2 linked regions of the Callithrix jacchus genome follow. The protein of the gene in region 2 purifies or fractionates together with the protein of the main gene of each other region. This does not show direct contact. Links are inferred from orthologs where the notes say so. Each region holds a gene or a part of one and is shown on either strand. Other genes may lie near its edges.

Region 1 (5,964 bases), on a different chromosome or scaffold from region 2:
GTTTTTCTGGGAAAAAGGTAAAATCCTTTGCATCCCATACTCTACTTTGGCAAATTCCGCCTCAACTCAAAACCTGTGCAGTTGAAGGGTGGTCTTGACAGTTTGGATTAGATATTCAACAAATATTTCTTGAGTGCTTACAATGCTTGAGGTGTTGTTTTAAGTAATAATAATAATAGTAGCATATATTTACCTATTTCTTAGCGGCTGCCAGGCATGCTTCTGGGTATTTTGCATATATTAACTCATGTAATCTTCTCAGCAACCCTAGGAGGTAGGCCATATTGCTATAATTCCCATTTTGCAGATAAGGAATCCTAGGCTTGAGAGGCTGATGAACTTGCGCAAGGCCACAGAGCTGGTGAGTGGTAGAGTCTGGATGTGCATATAGGCAGCCTGGCTTCTAACCACTGTACTGTCTGGCCTCTTTGGGGATCTAATAGCGAACAAGAGAGAAATAGTGCCAGTCCTTACAAAACTTATGTTCTGGTGAGGAGAGAGTTAACAAACATATAAATTATTATTTCAGATCATGATGAGAAAATAAAACATGAGAGGGAGGTGAGAGTGCTAACAGAGTCTGATAGGTCATAGATAGGAGTTGAGGTGTTATTCTGAGTATGATGGGAAGTCACTGGAAAGCTTGAAGTAGGAGAATGTATTGATCCTATTTACGTTTTTATAAGACATTCTGGCTGCACTGTGGGAGGTAGATGAGAGCTGGGGAAATGCAAGCAAAGCAGCAGACCAGTTAGCAGGTGGTTCTGATAGTCCAGGCAAAAGATAACGGTGGCTCAAGTCAGGGTGGTGGAGCAGAGAGATGGTGAGAAGTGTTTGGAATTGAGTCCTGGTTTGGAGGCAGAACCCACAAAACTTGCCGGTGTTTCATATGGATGCAAAAGGTGAGGAAAATGAGAACTTAAGGGTGATTCCTCGGAGCTTGGTGTGAACCATGGTGTAAACAGTGGTGCCATCTACTGAGGAGGATAAGAATAAAGGAAGAACAGGTTCGTTTTAGTGCTGGTATCGTGGGTGTGAGGGTGTTGAGAATCTCAAGTTCTGTGTGGATGTGTACATTTGAGAACTCTATTAATAGACTTAAGAGGAAACATGGAACACACAGTTAGATTCATAAGCCTGGAGCCCAGAGCCAGACCTAGGCTGGATATTTAAATATGGACGTGGACATTAGTTGAACGGGATGACCTAGGACAACATTTTCCACTTGATCTTTTTTTTAAATGTTATTTTTTAATTTTCATTTAAGTTCAGTCGTACATGTTTGTTACATAGGCAAACTTGTGTCCTGGCAGTTTGTTTTATGGATTGTTTTCTAAATGCCCAGCAACGACAGGCTGGATAAAGAAAATGTGGTACATATACACCATGGAATACTATGCAGCCATAAAAACAGAACAGGATTATGTCCTTTGCAGGGACATGGAAGGAGCTGGAGGCCATTATTCTTAGCAAACTAACACAGGAACAGAAAACCAAATATGGCATGTCCTCACTTAAATCATGAGAACACACTTGATGATCTTGTGATGGAAGCTTTCTACATCCTTGCTGTCTAATATTGTAGTGCCGGCCATCTGCAGCCACTGAGTGTTTGAAATGTGGTTGGTGCAGCTAAGCAGCTGAATTTTTAATTCATTAAAATGTAAATAGCTCAAGTGGCTAGTAGCTACTGTATTGGACAGTGCAGATCAGTGTAGCTTCAGGAGAGAAAGTCCCAGGCAGGAGCAAGTTCCTTCACTAGCCAGTAAGCCTAGCCTTGTAGCCACATTTAAACATGACTTTATTTCCGCTGCTCACAGCATGCATGGCAACGCTTGTTAACAAAGTAATGAAAATCGTGCTTCTTTGTGAGGAATAGCCTGGGAAAGAAAGAAAACTGGTAGTTCTAGGGGAAATATTAGAAGAAACTAAAGAAGTCTAAGGAAGCAGTTGTGCTTAGCTAGAAAACAAACACAATCCAGTACCTACAGAATCATTAAGCCAGGGGTGCTCAATCTTTTGGCTTCCCTGGGCCATATTGGAAGGAGGAAGATTGTCTTGGACCACACATAAAATACATGAAACACTAATGATAGCTGATGAGCTAAAAAAAAAACAAAACACACACACACACACAAACTCCTGATAATCTCATAATGTTTTAAGAAAGTTTATGAATTTTCTTAAAAATTCTGCATTTTTGGGCTGCATTCAAATCCATCGTGAGTCACATTGCAGCCTGGGAGCTGCAGGCTGGACAAGCCTGATTTAAGCTTTGAAGGTATCCCTTCTGTGTTTGTTACAATTTATGGAGAATGCTATGAAATGGTGTGTGTCTGTGAATTTGGAGATTCAAGGTGGTGACTGGCTGGTACCCTCTATCAATGTCCAGGGCCCACTACAAAGGTACTAAATACCAGCCTCGTCATGAGAGTTGTGTCTCTTCAGGGTATAGTCTGTTTCACTCCCTTTGTCAGTCTCGTTCCAGTACAACTGCGGCTATCAGTGAGTGTGCTGATGTGAAAGAACTCTTTGTAAGTGGCTGCCTTGTGCTTAGGATTTCTTGCAAGTCTATGCTGGCACTTGGTGAGGCCAGAGTCAATAAAAGCAACGTCCCATCTTTCCATTTTATTTTTTTAATTAAGGTTGATGGCAGCTGCTGTGTTAGCTCTTTAAGAACCTCTTGGTGACCAACACCTTCTGAGAAAATGGCCTTTCTGTGCTTAATTGGCGAAAAGCAAGGGGATTTAAGTCACTGCTTTTAGGAGGGGTAATCCAAGGTCAGCACTCACCGAATGTCTGTCACACAACTGGTTTTGTAGGAGGAATTTTTTTGTACTAAGCCTCCATGTGGGGACTGGGCACTTGGAGGAGAGTACCTCAGGTCCCACAGCTGGTTCCATCTGAAGGGATAGGACCAGAACTCAGGGAAGGGCTGGGACCAAGGTATTTTTGAGCAGTGTCTGGGGTTGGGTGGAGGTGGGAGGACAGATAATCAGGAGAGGTGAGAAGTCAGAGGAGGCTGGAGCTGAGGATGGAAATGCCTTACAGGATACATATAGCCTCAAACCCATGACCCTGTTCATCCTGTCAGCAGTCACTGGGCACCAGACAGAAAGTCCTGGAAGGAGGGACGGGCAGGAGGCAGAGTCAGAAAGAAGTCAGCGCCCACCTCGCTTCCGTTTATTCAGAAATCTTTTCAGAGAGGAGGGAGATTTCTGTGCTGTTGAGACCTCCCTGTTTCCCTGAGGAAAGCAAGTGAGGTGACAATTGGCACAGGTGAGATTAAGGGGACAATTAGGTCCTGTCAGCCAGGCGAGGCCGCGAATTGATCGTAGGCTGAGTAACAGCTGTAATCTACCCTTAGTGGGTATTTTTCTCAATGTCAATATCCAACACCCTTGTTACAGAGCTCCAACCCCCTGCCGTCTGTCGTCGGCTGAAATGTGACCCTGCTCTTCCTTTTCTTCCAGTGTCTGAGCTGCAGGAGGAGGGAATGAATGCCATCAACCTGCCCCTCAGCCCGATTCCCTTCGAGCTGGACCCCGAGGACACGATGCTGGGTAACTGTGCTCTTGTCTCTGAATTGGCTTAAGCTTTCCAGTGCCAGCACCCCCACTGAATTCCTTTTCTTTTTAAAGAGGAGAATGAGGTGCGAACTATGGTGGATCCAAACTCACGCAGTGACCCCAAGCTTCAAGAACTGATGAAGGTAAGAAGAAATCAGGAGTGCCTTCTGGTGCCTCACAGACCCACCAGGTGTCCATATGCCACCTGCTGTGAGCAAGCACCCCGCGAGCCCCTCAGAGAAGGTAAAAAGTCATGGCAGCCCCTGCCTCAGGCTAGCAGATGGCCATGGAAAACAACTGATTGTGTAAGCGTGGAGCGTGACAAATGCCCAGTGAGTGGTGCTGGTCATAGCACCAGACAGGTCAGTACAGGTAAGCTCATGTTGGCCAGGATTCCAGAGTGTACAAAATGCTTATTTTCTCAAGAACTCTCAAAAGCATGCACTGGAGTAGAAATTAGTCTCATTCCCATTTTCCGGATGACAAAACCAAGTCTCAGAAAACCCAAGTGGTTTGTTTATGATCATAAACAAGGAGACGGAGTCCAAGCAGAAATAAAGGAGATGAAGTGATATACTGTGCATAACAACTGCATAGTGGCCAGTGTGCGCCTGTCCTTCTAAAACTGTTCATTTCTCCCCTGCATCTTGTTCCTCCTCTTGAGCTTAACCAAGCTGCACTTAAGACAAAAGGCATTCAGGCCTGTTATTCCAGCACTCTGCGGAGGCTGAGGCAGGTGGATCACTTGAGCTCAGGAGTTTGGGACCAGCCTGGGCAATGTGGTGAAACACCATCTCTACTAAAAATATAAAAATTAGTCAAGTGTGGTGGCGCATGCCTGTAGTCCTAGCTACTCAGGAGGCTGAGGTGGGAGAAGGGCTTGAATCTGGGAGGCAGAGGTTACTGTGAGCCGTGATCCTGCCACTGCACTGCAGCCTGGGCCTGTCTCAAAAAAATAAAAAAAAAAAAGCACTGGATGTCAGAGCAATTCATTCCCCACGCAAATCTGAATATGCACTTCCCCAGTGCAAGACCTGTCAGAGTTTCCCATCCACCACAGGTTGTAGGCCACTTCTGGAGGTGGTGTTTAGAGTCTGTGCTCTAACTGCCTCTTCAATCTCAGATCAGCCGCTACCCAGCAACACAGGGATGCCAGACCTGCTCCTCCCAGCAGCCCATGCATGCTCCCAGCACTCCTCACCGCCAAGCCTGGCTAATGCAGTCCCCTCTGACTAGAATGCTTCTCCTGCTCTTCATCTGAAAGTCTCAGCATGGCTACCTGCTCCAGAAAGCTTGCTCCAAACTCTAGTGCCAAGGCTCAGCCCCTCTGCGGCTGCTGTGGCCCTGTCCTTAGCTCTCCAGGTCCCGTTACAGCATCTCATGCACTTCACTAAATGGTGAGCTTCTTGGGGTTAGAAACTGTCTTTTTTGTCCATCGTCGTTGCTTGCCATTAGAGTAAGGAATAACAGGGGCTGTCAATATTAACAGGGACACTGGTGCCAGCAGCACTAGCAGGATGCACATCTGAAAATTAAGAAGGCCAATAGGGCTCACACTTGTAGCTACCTGTGCACACACTGGGTCATGTGGCTAGTTCTGCTTCTTTTAAAATCTGAAGTTCAAAGCTGGGCAGTGAAACGCACCCACGGTCCCAGCTTTACAGGAGGCGGAGGCAGGAAGATCACTTGAGCTCAGGGGTTTGAGTCCAGCCTAGGTGACATAATGAGACCCCGTCTCTAAAATAAAATGAAACTTAAAATCTGAAGTTCATTTACATTTAATTGTTCAAGATAAGAAAGTTGGCCTATAAGAAAGTACCCTATGACTTTTTTCTTATTCTTACACATTCTCTCTCTCTGTAGGTATTAATTGACTGGATTAATGATGTGTTGGTTGGAGAAAGAATCATTGTGAAAGACCTGGCTGAAGATTTATATGATGGACAAGTCCTGCAGAAGCTTTTCGGTAGGAGAGTTGAGCGCTGCAGTGGATGTGGCTTTCATGGCAGGTGGTTGGATCACCTACTTGTAGCTAGAAGGAGTTAGTTATGCTCAGTTTACAGTGGCTTACCTAGAAATGGACTATAAATGTGTGGAGTGTGGAATAATAGCTCAGTGAAGACTTTAGATATACTCTTAGAATCTGTTTCACATGAATGAATTGTAGAAGAAGTCTTCATGACCAGATGGGCCTGCTCCTTCTAGCAGCCGAGGGTCATCAGCTAGATAAAAGGACCCCGCTATATATTTATAGCTAGGAAGTATACCTCCCCCACTCCAGAAAAGCATGCATGTGTGGCCTCTGTAGGTATATGTACATGTGTGGGTGTGAGTATGAATTTTTAGATCTCCATCACCTTCAGATGCATGTGTATGTGTTTATTCCTCTGTGATC
Region 2 (6,543 bases):
AGCTAAAATTTTGTCAGTAAAGGAACATGGAGGTTGGGTGCGGTGGCTCACATCTGTAATGCCAGCACTTTGGGAGGCCAAGATGGGAGGACTCCCTGAGCCCAGGAGTTTTGAGGCCAGCCTGGGCAGCGTAGCAATACCCCATCTCTATTGCCAAGCATGGTGATGTGTACCTATAGTCCCAGCTACTCGGGAGGCTGAGGTGGGAGGATCACTTGAGCCTGGGAGGTTGAGGCTGCAGTGAGCCGTGATTGCACCACTGCACTCCAGCCTGGGTGTCACAGCAAGAGCCTGTTTGCAGAAAACAAAAATTCTTATACTAAGGTAGCCATGTGAACTATTTTAATACTTGCATATATTAAGCATGGTGACACTGTGTATGCACTCCTGAGAACTGAGTCCTGGTGGAGGCTCAAAAGAGGATTCTGGAACTCTCTAGCCTCCAAGGAGTCCCGCGGTCAGGGAGTTTGCAGAAAGCAGCCTTGGGTCAATGATACAGAAGCCAGAGAAGGTGGACTATGGAAATCTCCAAATTCACTTCCACCCAACTTCCCAAAAAAGTACTGTTATTCTTCGTTAGCTACTTCTTTAGGAAAATTTTAGAATGATCTTGCTTTTTACCACCCAATGTTATACTGGAAACGTACTTTTTCAGGAAGCAAGTGGCTATCTTTTCTTCCTTAATAAAAGCCAAGGCTTCAAAGAGATAACGGAGCCAAACCGAAATAGCTAAGCCACTCTGCCCATTTATAAATATTACATAAAGTCTCTTCAAAAGCCGAAGGGTATAAAAGCTCCTCTGCTGAAAGCAGCCTCTCTCTCCTACATGGTGAGAGCAGGTGCTGGCGGGAGCAAGGCTGTGGGGCCAAGACTCACACTGTACCAGGCATCCCCTTCTCTTTCTCCTCCTATCAACAGTGCCCCCAGTAATGACCATGATCATGGCAGAGCCAGGCAGGGGCAGCAAGGGGCACACCCAGATCCTCAGTTCCAGAGACATCTGCTCTGTTGCTGACAGCAAGGACCCTTATGGAACGCAAGAGACCAACACACACCAAGGCTGAGAGGCTAAACAGTACACAAAGTTGAATGGCACATATTTTCATTAAGGCCACAAAATGCAAATCATCTACGTTTCCTCCCTTTTCCTTCTGCCAAGACGTAGCAATAGCATCAACTCCGATCTCTGTCCCCGTCAAAACCATGGATTCACAGTAAACCTGACTCTACCATTCTCTCCACACCTAACTGGGTATCCGTCACCTTTCACCTCCCTTCTTCTCACTTGTCACATCCTGGACCTGATCTCACACACTCATGGGCCTAACCCATCATTCTTTCATTTTTGTCATTCCTCAACTATTTTTGTGCTCAATCTACTGTGCTCCAGGCACTATTATAAACCATGAATATTGCACAGCTTTTGTCTTCCCAATGTCCCAGTGGAGAAGAGAGACTTCTAGATTAAAAAAACAAAATCATGGCCAGGCCTGTGGCTCACTTTGGGAGGCTGAGGCGGTCGGATCACAAGGTTGAGAGATAGAGACCACCCTAGCCAACATGGTGAAACCCTGTCTCTACTAAAAATACAAAAACTAGCTGGGTGTGGTGACGCACACCTGTAGTCCCAGCTACTCAGGAGGCTGAGGAAGGAGAATCACTCGAACCCAGGAGGTAGAGGTTGCAGTGAGCCAGGATCACACCACTGCACTCCAGCCTGGTGACAAAGCCACACTGTCTAAAAAAAAAAAAAAAAAGGGGGGGGGCCGGGCACGGTGGCCTGTAATCCCAGCACTTTGGGAGGCTGAGGCTGGTGGATCATGAGGTCAACAGATCGAGACCATCCTGGTCAACATGGTGAAACCCCATGGTGAAATCTCCACTAACAATACAAAAAATTAGCTGGGCATGGTGGTGCGTGCCTGTAATCCCAGCTACTCAGGAGGCTGAGGCAGGAGAATTGCCTGAACCCAGGAGGCGGAGGTTGCGGTGAGCCGAGATCGTGCCATTGCACTCCAGCCTGGGTAACAAGAGCGAAACTCCGTCTCAAAAAAAAAAAATCATTACAATCCTATGTAACAGGAGTCACAAAGCAAGGCACACATCCACCTTCACAGAAGAGGGAGTGGCTATGTTAGCTTGGTGCAAAGGGAGATTTAACACAGGTGGTGATGTCTAGCAGACTCTTAGAAGTAAAAGAATTTCAGGTGCAAAAGAGTGAGAAAGAGAGAAAACAGAATTCGCAAAGGCACCAAGAGCTGAACGAGTAGACTCTCATCCAGGAAGGGCAATAGGTTCCAAGTGACTGGAATGCCAACTGCATGGAAGGATAAGGTTGTGTTCAGATTCAGAAAGGCCTTGAACGCCACCCCAACAAACCTGGAGAAATGTGGAGAGGGTTTAAACCCAAGCCATGTCAGCCTGAAGAAGTGCTTTCACTCATCACAGGTTTTTCAAATGTTGGAATTAGTAGCCAACAACTAAAACTTAGCAAATTTCATATAAAAGTATAGAATCAGGTCGGGCGCAGTGGCTCATGCCTATAATCCCAGCACTTTGGGAGGCCAAGGCAGGTGGATCACAAGGAGTTCCAGCAGTCAGGAGTTTGAGACCAGCCTGGCCAAAATGGCAAAACCCCATCTCTACTAAAAATACAAAAAAGTAGCCAGGTATGGTGTCATGTGCCTGTAATCCCAGCTCCTCCAGAGGCTGAAGCAGGATAATTGCTTGAACCTGGAAGGCACAGGTTGCAGTGAGCCGAGATCGCACCACTGCACTCCAGCCTGGGTGACAGAGTGAGACTCCATCTCAAAAACTAAAAAATAAAAATATAAAAGCATAGAATCTTGGCTCCTTTAAGAAAATAATCTAGCACACTGGGCCAACATTCCTATGGTGACACGTGTCTGAGAAGCAGGTGCAGCAGCTGGCCCCTTCAGGTGGCATACGTATTACGGAGTTCATGACCGCCCTCACTTGAAGGCATGTGAATTTGCAATCCCTGATTTTAAGAGAGAGGATAATACTATAGACCGGCGGAGGGGTAGTTTACAGGAAAATAACACTGAAAGTGATCCAGTGATTAAACTGCGCAGTGAAACTGAAGGGCAAGTTAGGAGGATTTCACCACAGCATGAGGAGGTAACAAAAGCCTGAGCCAAGTTAGAATAAACACTCAAAAGAAAGTAAAGATTCAAGAAATGCTTAAAATGCTCCAGGCACAAGAATGCTTATTAATGATGCAACTCGTGTGTGTCATCTGTTCATGGACAAAGACTGTATTAGGAGACGGAAAGACTCAAAATTAATTCTCAATTAAAAAATAAAGTGGCTATTAAACTGTGGAAAATCCACTCCAGTGCCATAAAGCAGAGACAACCGATGAGGCACAGCTGTCTGTGTAATTCTCATCGTGGACTCTCAGGATCGCTTTCCAGGTGGAAAGGAACAAACACACCTGCAAACCCTCTGCGCGAAGCCCCTGAGAAGTGATGCTTACAAGCAGAGACTGGGGTCTAAACCATTATAATCTCTCTCAGCAGGACTAACAGTGACTTGGCAAACTTAGAAACCCTTGCAGCTCATCCACGGGAGGGTCCTGCCCGAAAACTCACACAGGCCGTTGACATCCAGCATGTTGGAGATGCCCCGGTCACTCATGTCCACTTCGGGCTGGTTCTTCTCCCGGCTCTCCTCCACCAACTTCTTTAGGGACTTGGACATGGTCTGCAGCAAACAACAACAAAGCACGTGGGCGATGGCAGGAAGGTCAGGAGCGGAAAGAGGCCTTGGCTGCCACTCTGGGGCTTCCCCAGGGTTGGAGAGGGTGGGCGTCCGAGGGCGTCCCCGGAGCTGGTCCGGGTGCTGGAAGAGAATGGGGCGGGGCAGGGGAGTGGGAAGGATCCAGCCCCGATCCGGCCACGCAAAGAGAAGCAACCCCAAGTGCAACGCCGCACACACTCACCGCGGAGAGCAGCCCCTAACAGGGTGGGCGTGCAACCACAGGCTTCAGCAGGACGCACTCCGGCGGCGGGAGATGCCTTGGTTCTCCACAACACCGGTACGGAACAGCGAACACGCCCTGTCTCGGCACTCCGCGCAGGCGCACACCGCGCCGCTGCCAGCTCCACGCCCGACCCTACCCAAATTAGGAGAACAGCTTGCTAGACGTGGCTCCCGGACCAGGCTCCACCCTTATAAGTATGTAGAGGAGGATGGCCAATCACGTTTGTTACTCGCTTCGAGACCCCGCCCCACGCCGAGGTTAGTTAAATTCTGTGGCGTCCACGCCGCGGCTTGGCACTCTGATTGGGTGAAAGTTGGTACGTGCACCCTGGATTTGGCGCATGCTCAGTTGGTAGGTCGCAGCCCAGAGGGCTGTGGGCGGAAGCGGGTAAGATTTTTGACTCGACTGAGTAAGGGAAGGTGGTGACAGAGGGTGGGTGTGGCAAAAGCTGGGAGTAAATTGTCTACAAATGTTTCACTTCTGTAATTGCAGCTCCATTCTCCAGAAGCTGCTACCCTGAGTCCTATCTCCATATTGTGTCTCTGAGTGATCCTGTGGGTCACGCAGCCTCCCTCCCTATTAAGAGCTCCTCCAGGTAGGGATTCCAGCGCGGTCTGCGTTTTCCCAGTGCCCCACTGGAAATCTTTTTTAACATCTTGTTGGTTTCTAAGGCTGGCTTTTACCCCTGACCCTTTTGCTCTTGAGCAACGAGAACTACCCTCAGGGCTAGAAGCTACAAGTAAAACCCTACCATTTTAAGTCATTTGAAAACACCACTAAAGCGATGCGTCTTTCCCAGTTGTGACTTTCACATCTGTGAAACATTATATTCTTGTTTACAGGAATCTCCCGCTGTCTCTTCCAAAAGCAATCAACTTTTGAATTCTAGCAAAACTGCTGCCCTCTACCTCCCTATTTCCTGACCCAGTCTCAGACATCCAGCAATATCCTGTGCTGCTCTCACCCAAAAACCTGTTCTGAAAGACAGTTACATGCTCTGGAACAGATTGGCAGCAGGCACTTTTCTCCTTTGTCACCTACATTGATGATAGACGGACGGATACCACACATATGCATTTATATATTGTAGATTGTAGTAGGGATCAAAGCCTTCAGATGCAGTAAAATAATGTAATCATAACTCTGAAGCAGTTGTATAAAAAAAGATCTGCACTCTTTTTTTTTTTTTTTTTTTTTTGGTTAAAAAACATTTCAGATGAAAAGGTTATTTCTGTATTAGTCTTCTTTGATCTAGAGCTGTTCCTTGGCTTTTGTATGTATTGAACTAGACATTATTAAAGAGTACAGACCAGGTATTGTGTGGAATATCCTTTAAAGTGAGTTTGTCTGATGTTCCCTTTCAGGATATGAATTTTTGAAGAAACACCACTAAAGCGATGTGTCTTTTCCGGTGCATATCGAGGTGCAGATGACATTGGTTTCCCCCAGTATTGGTGATGTTCACTTGGTAAGGTGGTATCTGCCAGATTTCTTCACCATGAAGTTACTATTTTTTTCTTTATGATTAAAAATGATGCTTGGGGGTAGGTGCTACTTGGTTATGTCCCATTCCTCATCTAATTTTTACCCACTAGTTTTGGCATCCACTGATTTAATCTATATGTATTAGTTGGTAATCTCCTAATACATATCTCTTGAATCATTATATCTTTTAAAGCAAAAGTGCTTTTAAAAAAATCAGAATTTTTCTTATTCCATCAATTTCTTTTTTGTTGTTGTTGTGACGGAGTCTTGCTCTGTCGCCAGGCTGGAGTGCAGTGGTGCAATCTCAGCTTATTGCAGCCTCCGCCACCCTGGTTCAAGCCATTCCCCTGCCTCAGCCTCCCAAGTCGCTGGGACCCCAGGCATGTGCCAGCAAGCCCAGCTAATTTTTAGTATTTTAGTAGAGATGGGGTTTTACCATGTTGGCCAGGCTGATCTCAAACTCCTGACCTCAGGTGATCTGCCCTCAGCATCCTAAAGTGCTGGGATTACAGGCCTGAGCCACCACGCCCAGCCTTGTCCCATCAGTTTCTAATAGTGAATCTTGACTATGTAGGCTGAAGACAGTAATACCTGTGTTAGTCGGCTTGGGCTGGCATAACAATATACCACAGACTGGATGGCTTAAACGACAGAAATTTCTCACAATTCTGGAAGTTCAAGATCAAGGTGCTAGCAGATTTGATTTATCCTGTGGACGCTCCCCTTGGCTTGTGGATGACTTTTTCTCTTGGTGTCCTCCCAGGGCATTTTATCTGTGCAGTCACACTCTTGGTGTATCTTCCTCTTCTTATAAGGACACCAGCCCTATGGGACTACAGCCCAACTCTTGTTTCTCTGTATTAACACCCTTCCTAAGTATCACTGAGGATAATAGTTTTTAAACCTCTCTTCTGTTCACTAAATTATGTTTCTTCAAGGGTCCATTCTTGTGTGTGTTTATCTCGTCTTTCCCCTAAAAAAGAAAGATTCTTCCTCTCTCTGGTGATTGATTCTTGGTTGTTCTTTTGAGTTCAGGTGTGAAGATCTAAACT

What was found. Proteins that work in one complex are often made in the same cells at the same time.
Region 1: the proteins of RSU1 (region 2) and PARVA purify together in Homo sapiens (affinity purification with mass spectrometry; 3 studies listed by BioGRID and IntAct, counting the BioPlex papers as one, with this or other methods). This does not show direct contact. The link is inferred for Callithrix jacchus from reciprocal best matches to the Homo sapiens genes RSU1 and PARVA.

Annotation. Positions count from the first base shown.
Region 1 is NC_133511.1:78,369,157-78,375,120, forward strand, and holds part of PARVA (alpha-parvin), read left to right. Parts: intron 1-3,473; coding exon 3,474-3,563; intron 3,564-3,641; coding exon 3,642-3,712; intron 3,713-5,432; coding exon 5,433-5,535; intron 5,536-5,964. UniProt on the Homo sapiens protein: Plays a role in sarcomere organization and in smooth muscle cell contraction. Required for normal development of the embryonic cardiovascular system, and for normal septation of the heart outflow tract.
Region 2 is NC_133508.1:17,646,292-17,652,834, forward strand, and holds the start of RSU1 (ras suppressor protein 1), read right to left. Parts: upstream 3,758-6,543; intron 3,727-3,757; 5' UTR 3,724-3,726; coding exon 3,615-3,723; intron 1-3,614. Other genes in the region: uncharacterized protein LOC103794109, read left to right, coding at 3,758-4,393, 5,371-5,385. UniProt on the Homo sapiens protein: Potentially plays a role in the Ras signal transduction pathway. Capable of suppressing v-Ras transformation in vitro.